2 linked regions of the Ovis aries genome follow. The protein of the gene in region 2 binds, or shares a complex with, the protein of the main gene of each other region. Links are inferred from orthologs where the notes say so. Each region holds a gene or a part of one and is shown on either strand. Other genes may lie near its edges.

Evidence for each region. The genes of interacting proteins can lie anywhere in the genome.
Region 1: LRP5 (region 2) and FZD8 share a complex: the UniProt entries of both Homo sapiens proteins name them as parts of the wnt-signaling complex. The link is inferred for Ovis aries from reciprocal best matches to the Homo sapiens genes LRP5 and FZD8.

What each region holds. Positions count from the first base shown.
Region 1 is NC_056066.1:26,150,175-26,157,868, forward strand, and holds FZD8 (frizzled-8), read right to left. Parts: upstream 4,926-7,694; 5' UTR 4,150-4,925; coding exon 2,074-4,149; 3' UTR 1,328-2,073; downstream 1-1,327. UniProt on the Homo sapiens protein: Receptor for Wnt proteins. Component of the Wnt-Fzd-LRP5-LRP6 complex that triggers beta-catenin signaling through inducing aggregation of receptor-ligand complexes into ribosome-sized signalosomes.
Region 2 is NC_056074.1:42,193,684-42,201,414, forward strand, and holds the start of LRP5 (low-density lipoprotein receptor-related protein 5), read left to right. Parts: upstream 1-2,626; 5' UTR 2,627-2,712; coding exon 2,713-2,803; intron 2,804-7,731. UniProt on the Homo sapiens protein: Acts as a coreceptor with members of the frizzled family of seven-transmembrane spanning receptors to transduce signal by Wnt proteins.

The sequences.
Region 1 (7,694 bases), on a different chromosome or scaffold from region 2:
AAGAGAAATGTCAGTTGAAGAAGCATTTACTTCCGGTGTTTGAAAAGGTTCGGTTCAGAAAACTTGCCAGAATTCAGTCAATAGAATTTAGGCACTGAAGGTTTTTTTTAAGAAAAACTTGTAGTTTATAATAGTTCATTGGTTCAATTAGGAGCGAAAAAGAAGGGAGTTTTGTAATGCAATTGTCCAGCAAAGGAAAACGCTTGAAATTGGGGGATTATGTGCACAGACCACCTGTAGGGCATTCAGAACCCTTTTCTATAAAGCTTCAACTCATGCCTAGCTGCCTGCAGGCTGGCTAACAATGCCGGGAAAAGCTGTTTAAAAGGCTGCGGGCACTTGTGCCTCTGGTCTTCACTAACTGTTACAAGTCTTCCTCTCCCTGGCTCTCTCTCCTTTTTAAAGTAAAAGTCCCACATCCCTTTCATGGAAGAACTTTAAGGCTCCGCGGTGGCCAATTGGTCTGCACGAAGAGGAGCCGGCCGCAGGGAAAGAAACTTCAGACTATACAGCACATTTGGAGAGGAGAAAAGATCAAAGTTTTTCCAACTCAAAGGACCAAGTTCCCTACAGATTAACCCTATTCATTTGGCTCCTCTTAAAGGAATGATGTGCTGAGCCACTGGGCAGACAGGTAAAAAGTTCAACAATTGCCAAAGCATTCTTCTGCTAATTCAACAGCCTTCTGCTCAAATAAATTAGCTTAGTCTTGACAGAGGAACAATAGCTTTTTTCTCTAGGAAAAGCAGCACATTTGATATACACAAGCCTGGAAGGTTATTAAGATGTTAACCCGTTAGTTTAATCCATTAAAGAGCGCCTGTTCCACCACCGGATTGTCGAGTGACTTACACTGTACAGTGTGATTGATGGCTGAAAACATTAACCTCTACCCTTCAGCAGTGTGTTAGGTCCTGGAGGAGCAGGTGCTTTCAAAATCACGGACGACGCGAGAAATGAGTGTGGGGTTTGAAGCCTTTAGTGATATTATACAAGATAAATAACAAGGCCAGAGTGGAATTGCGCCTTGCAAAAGTTCCATTTACATCGACTAAGGTGAGTGGTATCCATGGATCAGAAAAGAGCTATCATTAAAAATACCATCTTTTCGGAAAGGTGCAAAAACCTCCATTTTGATTTCAGTTTAACAGTTATATTTACTTTGCTGACAACTTAGGAACTCGAGTTTAACAGGTCATTTTTCTTCATGCCTAAGGTCAGTGTACATAATGAGAAACCAGAAAACGTCCCTGTTTCGGAGGGGCCCTCCACAAGCACGTTCAAGGTAACAGTTTAGAAGAGGCAGGGGGAGAGGGCGACGGTTAAATCATTTATCAAAAGTCATTTTATTGACAAAATAGAATACTTATATTTGTTCTTACAGGGGTGGCCTCTAAACTTTTTACAGAAAATGTACAGACTGTATATCTTTGGGTATGTACATATTTTACACATTTTTACAATTTAACAAATAATTATATTTATAAATACATCCTCTAATGTAAGAAACCCGTATTTACTTGGGGTGTATAATTAAGACATTTCTTGTTTGTTTACTTAAGGCATTTGCCTGGTCATTAAGAATACCCAAACCGTGCAATCCCGTTAGGTCGCGCTCATCCCGCCTCTAGGACGTGTTAGGAGTTAAGAGTTTACGTAGCAGAATCGAGGGAGAAAACTTAGGTCCCTCAGGTGAAATCTGTAGGTCTGGCTTCAAGCTCAGCAAATGGCAACCAGCGAGGGCTCCAACCCTTGGGTCTCAGAAACGCAGCCGCGGGGCTCACCCTCCTCTGCCCTGCCAACAGAAATGAACGCCTGGCGGGAGAAACTCCTCGCCCGTCGGTAGAGGAAAGGGGGGTGGGGTCTGGGAGCCTTCAATGCCAGGTACTTTGTTCTAAGTGAGTCCCAGCTAATGGATACCATTAAGAGTTCATTATGATGCTAATAGCAATCAACACGGTGAAGGGGTGGAAACCTTTGCTTTCGAGTGTCCTCCTCCCAGCCCCCCACCCCCCGCAGCACTCTGTCCCCTCGCCCCCTCCCTACACCTCGCGGGCGCACCCTCCCCTCCGCTCAGACCTGGGACAATGGCATCTGCTTTGGATAAGACACCGAGCTGGCCGTGCCAGATCGCCACGTCAGGCCGGTGCTGACGTCGCTGTAGAGGGAGCCCGCCCCGCCGGCTCCCGGTCCCCCGCCCCCGCCAGCCCCCGGACCCCCGCCCCCCGGGCCGCCGCCCGCCGCACCCGCGCCCGCCGCGCCCGCGCCCTTGCTGGCCCAGCAGCAGCGGGTGCACAGCGCGCGCCACGACTCGAGCGTCTTGCCGGACCAGACCCACACGCCCGAGGTGATGCCCACTACCAGGCACATGAAGTACTTGAGCATGAAGACCGCGTAGTCGGGCCGGCGCGCCTGGTCGGGCTGTAGATCCCGCAGGCACGGGCAGTTGTGCGTGGCCTCCCAGCGCGGGCGGTTGTGCTGCTCGTAGAAGAGGCAGGCGACCACAACGGCGGCGGGCACGGTGTAGAGCACGGTGAAGAGGCCCAGGCGGATCATGAGCTTCTCCAGCTTGTGCGTCTTGGTGGGGCCACCCTGCTGCTTGATGACCGAGCGGATGCGGAAGAGCGACACGAAGCCGGCCAGCAGGAACATGGTGCCGATGAAGAGGTAGATGACCAGCGGCGCCAGCACGAAGCCGCGCAAGTTGTCCAGGCTCTGATTGCCTACGTAGCAGATGCCTGCCACCGGGTCGCCGTCCACCGAGCTGAGCGCCAGCACGGCGATAGACTTGACGCTGGGCACGAGCCACGCGGCCAGGTGGAAGTACTGCGAGTAGCCGGCGATGGCCTCATTGCCCCATTTCATGCCCGCCGCCAGGAACCACGTGAGCGACAGGATCACCCACCAGATGGAGCTGGCCATGCCGAAGAAGTAGACGAGCAGGAAGACCACGGTGCACAGCGCCGGGCCAGTGGTCTCGTAGCGCACGTGCTGCTCCACGGCGCCCAGCTCCTCATACTCGCCGCGCCCACCCGGGCCCCCGGCGCCGGCTCCCGCCGCACCCGCGCCTGCCGCCGCGCCCCCCGCGCCCCCGGCCCCGCCAGCAGTCCCAGCGCCGCCGCTGCACGCCACCTTCTCGTGGCCCGCCACCAGGCGCACCAGGTAGCCGACAGACACGAAAAGGTAGCAGGCCGAGAGGAATATGATGGGCCGCTCCGGGTACTTGAAGCGCTCCATGTCGATGAGGAAGGTGGAGACGGTGGCGAAGGTGGACACGAAGCATAGTACAGACCACAGGCCTATCCAGAAGACGGTGAAGGCGCGCTCGTCCTGGCTGAAGAACGGGTTGTGGCAAGGCAACGCGCAGTTGGCGATCTGGCCCGTCTTGACGCGGTTGTAGAGAGGGTGCCGCTCGCTGGACACGCTCACCATGGGCGCGCGGCACTGGCATCCCGGCTCGCAGGGCGCCGCGCCGCCGCCAGGGGGCCGCGCCTTCCCGCCGCCGCCACCGCCGCCACCGCCGCCGCCGCGCGCAGGGGGCGCAGCCGCGTCCCCGCCGCCGCCCCTGCCGCGGGACGGGGGCCGGGCCCCGGGTGGGCGGCCGTGGCCGCTGCCGGAGGGCGGCTGCTCACCGGGGGGCGGCGGCGGGGGGCGGCGCGGCGGGCTGGGCGCGGCCGTGGTGAGGTCGGTGCGGTTGTAGTCCATGCACAGCGTGTCGGGGTTGCCCTGCTCGGGCAGCCGGTCGCAGCGCATGCGGTCAGGCCAGGCGAAGCCGTACTGGCGCATGAGGGGCGCGCAGCCGGCCTTGGCGCGCTCGCACACCGAGCGGCAGGGAGGCAGGGGCTTCTTGTAGTCCTCTAGGCAGATGGGCGTGTACATGCTGCACAGGAAGAACTTGAGGTCGGGCGAGCACTGGATCTCCACCAGCGGCCAGAACTGGTGCACCTCCAGGCCCGCCTCGTCCTGCGTGTCGTGGTTGAACTGGTTGGGCATATAGGTGTAGTTGTAGCCGATGCCCTTGCACAGCGGCACGGTGATCTCCTGGCACGCCAGTTCCTTGGCTGAGGCGGCCGCCGCACCGCTCGAGCGCTGCAGCAGCGCCAGGGCGGCCAGCAAAGAGGTCACTTCCAACAGGTAACCCCACTCCATGCTGCGCGCCTCGGCCCCTCGCCTTCGCCCTCCGGGCGGCGCGCGGAGGGGCGCCAGGGGCTCCTGCGAGAGCGCCGGGCTCTCTCCTGCCTCTCTCGGGAGGGGTTCTGCCAATAGCCTAGTCCCTTATCGGGATGCTTCCTCTCGGCGCTGCGGGAGACGAGGGTGGCCGCCGAAGGGCACCGTGGTCCCAGCGTCTGCCCCGCTCACTCCCGCCGGGCTCAGCCCTCGCGGGACAGAGCGGCCAGCCCCCAGCTCATCTCTCCCTCCCTCGGTCTCTTTCTCCGCGCGCGCCGGTGACTCTGCCGGGCACTGAGGGCGGAGGCGCAGCAAGTTTCTTCTCGGGCCGCGGTGCGCAGTCAAGATGGCTGGGCCAGGCCGCTCAGAGCCGGGTCAGCCCCTGCAGCCCCCTTTCGGCGTCCCGGGGCTCATGCTCGCCCCCAGGGCCGCGCGGCTGCTGCCGGGGTTAGAGGCCCGCCTCCACCGAGGCCACGGCCCTCAGTCCCCGGCGTCCGTCCGTCGGTCAGCAGCCGGGATGACGGGCCCCGCCTCCGGTGGAAGTCGCGCTCCTGCCGGCACTGGGGCAAGGTGTCGGTGGTCCCCTTCTCGCTGAACTCACGGAGGCAAATCCAGGCCGGAAGGCGGAGCAGACACCTGAGCGGCGCGCCCGCGCCCCGCCACCGCCGCCGCCGCCGCCGCCGCCGCCGCCGCCGCCGCCACCGCCACCTCCTCGGCGGGAGCAGTGTCCCTCGCCAACTTCCCGCTCCGGCCCCGCTACGCCCAGGCCGGCTCATGAATATTTATACGGCGCGGACTCGGTCTCCGCCCGCGGCCGGCGCGCCAATCCCGGGCTCGGGGCGGAGTCTGCGCGCTCCCCAGGCCCCGCCTTCCTGGGGCGGACCCGGCTGTCCCCTCGGCTGTGCGAGCTGTCTGCGGCTGGAGTTTGGATAACCTTGGGGTTGACCGCAGAGACGGGTTTTGCCACGATCGTCCCCGAGGCGCCCTGTGGGGCTGAGGTCGGGGTTCCTTCACCCCGAGTCTGCGCTTGGGAACTGAGGGATTCTTTATACAGCGCGCTTTCAGAGGCCAGTTTCGAACTAGTCAAGCCCCTGCTTCCTACGCTCCCCGAATGTGGGCAACCTGCTGGCGAGGGGACTCCGCGCCCCTCAGCCAGCCGACGCGTGCGCGGGGGCTTTGCGGGGGAACGGGGAAGCGGTGCCCTTCTTGGGATTGTCAGAACGATGGTCTTGGAAGCTTGGCGATGTGAGAGGAGTGCCATGACTGCAGTTTATTTCTAGATGATGGGGCTGGACAGGGGACAGCCGGGGAAGAGGTACCCGGGAGCGCAAGGGCGCGGGCGCGAGAGGCGTGTGCACCCGGGCGGGCGGGAAGAAAGGGGTCTCCTCTTGCCTCAGCTGAGGGACGTGAGGCAGCGTCAGTTTCTTTACCTGCAGAGTGGGGTTCAGATCTCAAAGGGGGTTCTGCTAATTAGGCTAGATAAGATATATAAAGCATCCGGACATATTTAAAGCGCTCCCTTAAGAGATATAATTCCCTTTCTTCTTTAAAAAAGAAAAATAGAAAGGGAGAAAGAAAAACTTATAGGACAGACTGGAAACTCTGTGGCTGGATTCTCCCTCTTAGCCTCGCGCTTTTGGAACGTATGTGCGTCTCTCCAAAGTTGACATGTTTTTGCCAGAGCCTCCTCCTCCCGGTGGGAGGCGGCGCCGGGCCCTGGCGCGAACGCGCGGACACGTCTCCGCGGTGTTCCCGGGGCCGAGCGGCTGGGGACGCGGCCAAGGAGCGAGGCCCCCGCCAGCTCGTAGCTACCTTAGACGGGGAGGGGCCCGAGGGGCGGGAGGCCTGGCAGGTTCATTTACGCTTGTTAGGACGTCCCAGGGGGTTGTCTTTCTCCGAGAATGGAGTGTTTATTTTTTAATTGATGTGCTGTTTCATTTAGCGCTTGTATGGAACTCACGCTGGGGCTGTAATTACTGTAATCTCGGGAACAAGCATTTCAGTTAGCCAGGAGGGTGGCAGCAGACGTCTGTCTCTCTCTCTCCTCCTTTTCCTCTCGCCTCTCCCTTCTCCCTCTCCGGCTAGAAAACTAAAGTTATTGAGGATACGGGGACGATAGGATACGGATACGAAGGAGAGGTAGAGCTAAAAGCTCGTTTGAGGCCAGGCCTTTTTTATTGGGTTGGGAGTGAGGGGAGGAGGATGCGGTGGTGGTGGTAGTTGGTAATTATCTGTTTACAAACAACTCTTGTCGTGAAACAAAAATAACTAGCAGCATCTGTGTATGGCAGGACCCTATGTCTCTTCTGTTCTCTCTAGCTTAGTTTAGCAACCGCATTCTAATTAGAAAGATAGAATCTCCCACCCCCCCCACCCCAGCCCCACCCCTAATTTTTGGCAAGTTCGGTATTTTCACCAAGAATTCTAGGCAGAGCCACTAGGCTGTAGTCAAAACCCCATTGTCTTTTTTCTTTTAAACTGGTCTGTTTAGAATCTCTTTATTATACCAAAACAAAACACTTCCTTCGCATTTTTTGTTTTAGAAAAGCTAAACTGCATAGGAATCAGAAATTCTGAGGCTTCAGAAAGATTGGCTGATTCAGCAGAAAATGATCTCGAGTTTTCAAAAATGCAAAGACTCAACTGTTACTTGGTCTTTTAAAAATGAATTTCGTTCCTTTCTCCTGATGGGAATTCCCTTTGTGGCATGTGGAACACAGAATGTCACCTCTCTCCTGCTGGAATCCTGTTCAGTGATAGCCATGCTCCAGAACATTCAGCTGCAGAGAAACAGCAGGTGACACCTGGAGATAGGATGCTAAAGCACAGTAGTAAGGCAACCCCCAGCCCGTCCCCCCGCCCCCCCAGCCCCGTCCCCCCGCCCCCCCCCCAGCCCCGTCCCCCCTCCCGCCCCGCCCCCGCCAGTTTAAGGAACAGCCTGGGCCCTGCCTGTCCCTGACCACAGATAGGAGGCGCTTGCTTCCAAAAGCAACACAGAGAGTTTCTTATGATTTTCTTCAGCAGGAAATGTCAAATAGTGGAGTTTAGAATTACACTATATAAATTTACTTGAATTGGGTAAAAACAAACTGACATTTGAAAGTTGAAGCTGCAAATAGTTGATTTTGGCTTTTAATTGGCATTAAAAAATTTTTTTTCCTTTTGAGACAAGATGAAAGCTCTGATGATGTGGAATGTGGAAATTTGGGGAAAATATATTAAGCTTGCTGGAGAAAAGCAGACAAAAAGTTCAGAGCTTTCAAAAATCATTTATCAGCTATTGAGTGTGAGATTAAACCCATTTACATAAAATCATTAAATGCTTACTTTTAATTGAGAGAATAGAAGAATAGCATTTAAATTTTACTATTAAATTAAATGGCTAGTTGGCAATCTTTAAGAGCACAAGAGGCTTAGAAAGCCAATTAGTGTATAAAAGGCAATGACGGGTCAGCAAAAAGAAACTAGGATCATTTATCAACATCCTGGCTAAATAATGATTTTTCTTTTGTATGTAAAGCAGCTGC
Region 2 (7,731 bases):
ATGGCATCACCGACTCAATGGACATGAGTTTGAGCAAACTGCAGGAGATGGTGGAGGACACGGAAGCCTGGAGTCCCACCGGCAGTCTACGGTGTTGCAGAGAGTGGGACATGACCGAGTGACTGAATAAGCAGAGCCCCTAGGGTGGGCCACCCTGGGGCCCCTTCTCCTCCTTCCCACAATCAGCGCCTTTGGGGAGTCCCATTAGCTCTTCCTAAAGCACCCGGAATCCAGCTCCTTGTGAGCCCCCTGCCCCCACCTATCCAAGCTGCCATCTCTCCTGGGTGCAACTGTGGTGCCCGCTGCTGGCCAGTCCCCAGCATCTTCTCTTTCATCCTAACAGTCCTGCCCCTACTCAGCAGCCAGAGTGATCCTTCTATAAATATAAATCAGGTCTTCTCAGTTCACTCAGTCATTCAACAAACATTTATTGAGCACCTACTGTGTCAGGCCCTGGTGTAGGCTCTGGGGATACACGTGGAGTAAAGCAAGTGAAAGTGTATTCTTGTGGAGGGAAGAAAGATAAGGAAACAGTAGTCTGTCAGATGTTGGTCAGTGAAAAGGAGAAAAATTAGGCAGAGAAACGGAGCAGGAAGTGCTGGCAAGGGTGGGCAGTGCAAGGGGTGTGGTGTGCAATCTCCAAGCAGGGTCAGGGAGAGTCTGGCTGAGGAGCTGAAGATGTGAGGGAGTAAGCTATGTGGGTAACAGGGGTAAAAACAGCTCCAGCACAGAGGCTTCCCTGGGTGTCCAGTGGTTAAGAATCTGCACTCCAAGGCAGGAGGCCTGGGTTCAATCTCTGGTCAGGGAACTCCTCCCCCATCCTGCAACTAAGAGTTCACGCAGTGCAACTAAAGATCCCACATGTCACAGAGCAGTTAAGACCCTTGTGAACTAAGTCACTTCACCGTCTCCAACTCTGTGCGACCCCATGGACTGGAGCCCGCGAGGCTCCTCTGTCCATAGGATTCTCCAGGCAAGAATGCTGGAGTGGGTTGCCATGCCCTCCTCCAGGGATCTTCCCGACCCAGAGACTGAAGCTGCGTCTCCTGCCTTGGCAGGCAGATTCTTCTGCCGCTCCCTGTTGGTAGCTCAGACAGCCCTACTTCCCAGGCATTGCAGCCCAACACCCTCATTCTTCACGGCATTCCTGAGTCTGTTAGTGGTGTTTTGGTTTGTTTGCTTTGGTTTTAAATGTATCTATCTTCTTGTTTTTGTTTGTCTTCTTCCCTAGAATATAAACCCTAGGGGACAGAGACATTCTGCCTGAGCACCAGCTTTGTAAAGTTGTCACAAATACAGGAAGAATGCCTGTATCCATGGGCGGGGCTGTTCTGGTGAGTTGTCCATCCTTGTCTCAGCACCTGCAAGGTAAGTGTTCTCACTGTTTTATAAGGGGAGGAATTCCAACGACCCCCCCCCAAGAGGTTATATTTGGACCTGCCCAAGGGCACACCCCTGGGCTTCCCTGATGGCTCAGAGAGGGTAAAGAATCTGTCTGTGATGCAGGAGACTCAGGTTTGATCCATGGGGCAGGAAGATCCTGTGGACAAGGAAATGGCAACCCACTCCAGTATTCTTGCCTGGGAAATCCCAAGGACAGAGGAGCTTGGTGGGCTACAGTCCAGGGAATCATCAAGAGTAGGCCACGACTGAAGCACACACTTTCAACAAGGGCACACCTTGTAGGAAGCAGCAGAACCAGAGTTTGAATTTGGGCCTATGGGTTCCAGAGTTTGTGCTGCTCCTCGCCAGGCCTTCCTGTGCCTCCAAGGGTTCAGTAGCCGAACTTGATGCTCAGGTGGGCAGGGGACGGGGGTGGGGGCTGGGGAAGGGTGGTTCAGAGCCTGCTTGTTGAATGATCAAAGGTGAGGTCTGCATCCTAGAGGCCGCCTACAAGCATATTTGGAAAAACAACGTGTCTACCGCTCAGTCTTCCGTACCCTAGTTAATGTCGAGGGTATACGTTCAGTTTAAAAGTCAACCTCAAACCTACCCCGATTCCCCTGCAGTTTCCACCTCTCGCCATCACCTGCTTCTGTCCCTGTCCCGGCCCCGCCTGGCGGTCGCCTTCCCGGGCCCCCTCCCCGGTGAGAACAGGTGTCGGGGGCCCGCCCCGAGGAGGACCCTGCTGGGGTGGCTGCGGTCGCCGGAAAGCGCGCGCACCTGGCTCGGGGCCCCTGGCTTCCAGCCCTGAAACTGCCTGAGCGCGCGTGCCCTGGGGCAACCCCTTTCGCACACCCCGGTCCCGTGCCTCAGTTTCCCCACCGGGAGAGCTCGGTCCTGGCCGCTCTTAACAGGTGACACACCTGTTTCCGGGGCTCGATCTGGCCCCAGGCCCCGCGGGGTGCAAACCGGGCGCCCGCCCCCGCGCCCCCGCGGAGCCCCGGCGCCCGGCCCCCAGGGGCAGGGGGCGCGGGCAGAGGCGCCGGGACCCCGCGCGCGGCGGTCGCCTCGCGGCGGGCCGGCTCCGGGGGGCGCCCGCAGGAGGGCGCGGCCGGCGCGGGGGGCGCGGAGGGCGGCGGCGGCGGCGGCGGCGGGGGGCGGAGACGCGGCTCGGCTTCCGCTCCCGCGCCTCCTCCCTCCTCCCCCGTCGTCCTGGCCCGCGGCGCCCGAGGGGGGAGGCGGCAGGCGCCCGGAGCCGCGCGAGGAGCCCGGCAGCCGCGCCATGGAGCCCGAGTGAGCGCGGCGCGGGCCCGTCCGGCTCCGGACAACATGGAGGCGGCGCCGCCCCGGTCTCCCGCTCCTCCGCCGCCGCCGCTGCTGCTGCTGCTCGCGCTCTGCTGCAGCCTGGCCCCCGCCGCGGGTAGGTGGGCGCGGGCCGGGGGGACAATGGCCCGGGCGTCCGGGCGACTCGGTTGGCCCCGCGGCCAAGTGCGCCGCGCCGCCGCCGAAGCGACTTTGCAAGTTGGGGGCGAGTTGGGGCGCGCGCCGCGGGGCCCCGCCGCCCCCCGCCGCGCCCGCCTCCCGGGGGCCGCGCGCGGGCCCTTTGTCTCGCCCGCCCGGGCCCCTCCCGGGGACGCCGGGCCCCGTCCCGCGCGTCCCGGGCCGGCGAGCAGGGCGTGCGGGCGCCGCCGACCCCGCCAGGTGCGGCGCGGGCGGGTTCTCACCTGCCCGGGCCCCGAGGCGCGCTCGGAAGTGCGCTCGCCCGGAGCCGGCCGGGCGAGGCCGTGCGGGCACTGCGGGGACCCCGGCCCCGCGGGCAGGCACGGAGCGGGGACGTTCGGCCCGGAGGCAGGCCTGGCCGCCCTGCGTCGGGAACTCTTTTCCCGAGCCTGTTTCCGATGGCCGCGCGGCCGGCCTGCGAGCTCCGGGAACTGATTTAAGTCGCAGAGAAAGTTCTGAACCCCGCGCGGGGCGGCCTGGCCTGCGGCGCTGCCCCTTTCGTCTGCGTCGCTGTCGTTTTCCCAGCGGACTCACACCTGCCAGGTGTGCCCGGTCGACTCGGACCCCCCGTCTGGGCCGCTGGGGCCCCCAAATCGTGACACCCGGCGGGTGTCTACCTCCGGGGGGGCCTGGCTGCGTGGGGCCGCCGCGCGGGGTGACGGGGTCCCAGCCTGCGGCGTGGGGGCCTTGGCTGTATACACACACCCCCTTTGGGAGATCAGAGCCTGGGGACCTTTCTTTCCAACTGTTGGTGTCTCCCAAGGGGTGGAGTTGAGGTCAGGAGGACTCAGGAAACGAAGCGCCTTGTGAAAAGCTACACATGTTCTTTTAATTTGGAGATTGCCATGTGGTTTTTGAAGCAAGCCTCTCTCGCTACCTAAACCATTCTCTTCCGACGTGAGTGTTTTGTTTTTCTGGAGTGTGGCTGGCCCAGTGGACCCCGGAGCGGGAGTCCTCTGCGCCCTGGGCTGCTCTTCTGCTGGTGGCAGTTGGGGGTGGGGGGCCTTGGGTCCCTTTGTCTGGGCCTCTTTAAGGCAAACAGCTGTCTCCCTGAATATTTCCAGCGAGGACACTGCAGGGAGGTGTCCTGGCCTGGCTCTATGGTCACATTCCCGGGGCTGCGGCCCCTCCGCTGAGGTTTGGGGGGGCGAGAAGGGGTAATTCCTCAAGTCCTCTTGCCTCCCAGACCGGATCCCCGGAGACCCTTGGCAGTTTCAGGCTGAATTCGCCTCTCTCAGGAGTGTTTACATTCTTGGCCCCATCTGATACCAGCAAAAAAACAATGACAGTATCTGGGTAGTTCAGGCCGACACTACTGCTTCTCTTTCCGGAAATGCCTGGATCACGGAGGCAAAAGGGTTTTTTTGTTGGGGGGGAAGATGTTTGTTTTAAAGGTGGGGTTTCTCTGCCAGCAGAGTAGCTTTTCACTGCGTTGCAGTTTCGGATTTCCTGGACCTTGGGGTGGTGGTGTTGCTGGACTGGAGTGCCTGTCCTGCGGTTCGAGCCCCCAAGGAGAAGGATCACATTTGTGGAGCTCGGTTGTGTAGGAGGCAAAAAATAGAGTTGATTATTTTAACATTAAGGAAGCATGTCAACACGAGGTTTTTAGAGCCCTGGCTAATGTGGTAATCTGGTCCTAAAATGGAAGGAGAGGGAGGGAACTTTCTGCAGAAACTATTTTGACTGCTCTTGACATGTCATGTCCCTGATTTCTGTGTTAGATTTATGCCACAGTCCAGAGTGGAGCTAGTAAGTTGGTAGCTAATTATTTTTCCTGATTGCTTCCTGTTGCAATATGAAGGGGTGAGCCCAAGGAAATGCCTTTGTTGGAGTGATCCTAGAGCTGGGAGTGGTCGGCCCCAGCTCCAGGGCCCGGGGTCTCTCCCTTTTGGCCCCACTGCACTGGCCCCAGGACCACCCCCAGGGGAGGGAGTGGGGTGCTGCCTGCAGATGCTCACTGCCTGGCCTGCAGGTGAGCATTGAGTTAACTAAGTGCTATGGGGAGTCCATGGAGAGGCTGCCGGCAGGACCCTCTGCTTCCCAAAGCGGGGGCCCACATGCCTGTAACCCTCCTGTGCAGTTCCAAGAATTTACCCAGTTCACCCGCGCGTCCCAGCATTTGCTGTGGCCATGCCGTTGTATTTGGAACCCGTTTAATTTCAGCTGCACTGTGTCACTGCTCAGGCATTTAGCAGAATTTGCTCACGGGGTGGTGGTGGGGGCTGTAGTTAGGTGAGGACTTCCTGTCCTGCCACGTGTGCTTGCCAGGGCTAAGGTCGGGGGCCCCGGGGGTCAGACCCCTTGGGTCTAGAGCAAGGGTCCCCAACCTCCGGGATCTAATACCTGTTAATCTGAGGTGGAGTTGATGCAATAATAATAATGGAAATAAAATGCCCAGTAAATGTAAAGCATTTGAATCATCCCCAAACCATACCTTTCCCCCACCCCCCAGGTCTGTGGAAAGATTGTCTTCCATGCTATCGGTTTCTGGTACCAAAGAGGTTGGGGCCACTGGTCTAGAAGCTCAGTAGCTATTTGACTTTGGACAACTTACTTCGCTTCTGTGTATCCCGTGTCCTCACCTGCTTCCTCCCCCTGCTCAGGAGTGTAAAATACCGCCTGTGAAACCCTCTGCACGTCCCTGGCTGGGGGAGGAACTGTTGGTGGCAGAGCTGTGGTGCCTGTTGGATAATAAGGTTCTTGATCTTTCTGGCCTGGAAGGTCTAGAAGCTCTTATCACACAGTCTGGATTTTCCTCCTGTGTGGGACCTTGAACATCCCGTCCACTGTCTGACTTGTTTTTTGTGGCAGACTGGGTGAAGGGTATTGTGGTGGTGAACTGGGCTGAGCCTTGACTGTGGGGGGCGCTTGGGCAGCTGACTCCACCTTCGTGCGTCTCAGTCTTCTCTTCTGTAAAATGGGCGTAACGGAACTTCCTCCCGGTAGGTCAGCGCGTTGACACATGCCTGGCACTTGTATCATCTCTTTTATTGATGCTGTTACTGTTGGTACCTGCTGAAGCGCTGGGGATAGGATGGGGTAGAATGGTGGAGGAGGCCCGGGCCTTTGCTGTCAGGCTGTCTGGTTGACAGGGAGGCAAACAGCAGCTGACTGTGCAGCTCTCGGGGAGGTGGGCTCCGTCCCAGGACCCTGTCCATAGAGACCCGGTGGTCTCTGCTGAAAGAGGCCAGATCACGCTGCAGAGTCTGGATGTGGTCCAGAAGGCACTGGAAGCTTCCGGAGACTTTAGCTGGGGGAGGGAGATAGGAAACGCAGGGGAAAGGTGTTGAATTGATCTTTTTTTTTTTTTCTCTTTTGTTAAATTGAGGTGAAAATCATGTCACATAAAACTAATCATTTTAAAGGAGACAATTCCATGGTACATTCGCAGTGCTGTACAAGCATCCCTTCTGTCAAGATGCAAAACATTTCCGTCGGCCCAGAATAAAACCCTGCACCCTTTAAACTTCCCATCCCCCTACCCCAGGTCTCTCTGGCATTGCTTGCTCTGGATACTTCATCTGCAGGGACTCACAGGCTGGGCTGCCTGTTGCCTCTGGCTTCACGATTAGCAGAATGCTCTCGTGAGGTGTCCATGTTGCAGCGCGGGACAGCACTTTGCTCCTTGCATAGCGTGGACAGGGCACATCTGCTCATCCGTCCACCCGCTGATGGGCTGACCTTGCGTGGGTGCTTCTCCCAGCAGGCACGGGCTTGGAGCCCATTGTCCCTGTGGGGTTTGGACAGCGGAGGCTGTTTAAAGCTGGGCTGGGGACATGACCACATTAGCTTCAGAGATGGGAGAGGCCATGGTGAAGGAAGCTTGGCTGGGGGACAGACTGAGGGCCAGTGCTGGCCTCTGGTGGGGTGAGGGACCCTGGGAGGTGGACCTGGTAGACTTCGATATCACAGAAGCCCTGGTAGGAGCTGGACATCTGTGGCTTACAAGGCCTCTGGGATGGCCACACGCTCTCAGAATGGGGGGGCTCTGATGGGAGTGGGGGCTGCATCCAGCCCCTTCCTCTGCTGGGCCCGGGACATTTTTGTGCAGGAAGCAGTGGGCTGTCCACCCTGCGGGCGCCCCGGAGACACTGCGGTCAGAGCGCTGCTGATGTGGAGGCCGGTGGGGACAGCAGGGACCCAGAGAGCGGGCCCCAGGGCCCCTCTGCTGCTATGGGCTGCTGTCTGCTTTTTCTCCAGCTTGGGAAGTGGTTTGTTAACTCTGGGACTCAGTTTCCTTATCTGCAAAATGGGGAGGATGGCATGTGTTTTTTGGGGGTTCTACGAGGAGGAAGCCGCCTTTTAGAGGGTCTGTCATGGGAAGGGCATGGTGTGGGGGGAGTCCCATTTCTTTTTGTTAAGCTGTTTTTGTTTGTTAACATAGTGAAAACTTTTATATTTAGAATTAGCCAGCTGGACTCAGTTTAGATGATCCTAAGTTTGTCGGCAACATCCAAAGCATCAGGAGCCAGTGGAACGTAGGGCCGCTTCTCCCTATCAGGCCTGATCAGAGTATTGACCTCAGCCACGTCAGCGTCACAGAGCTTCGCAGCCTGTTTAATTAGGTGCTTGTTGGCACTGACATCCACAGTGAGTTCTCTTTTCTTCACGGCTGACTTGGTGGTAAGGGGGATCTGATGATGGCACAGTGGTCAGGTTTGTTTCTCCTGGGGCCGCTCTTCCCGGGATCTTTGGGCGGCCTCCTGAGCAAAGTGTTTTGGGCAGCCGAAAGGTGGGTGACATCCAGATCTTCTTTTTTTTGGGGGGGGTGCTGTGGACACCTTCCAATACCTCTTTCTTCGTCTTCAAAGCCTTTATTTTGGCTTTGGCTTTAGGAGGGGCAGGGGC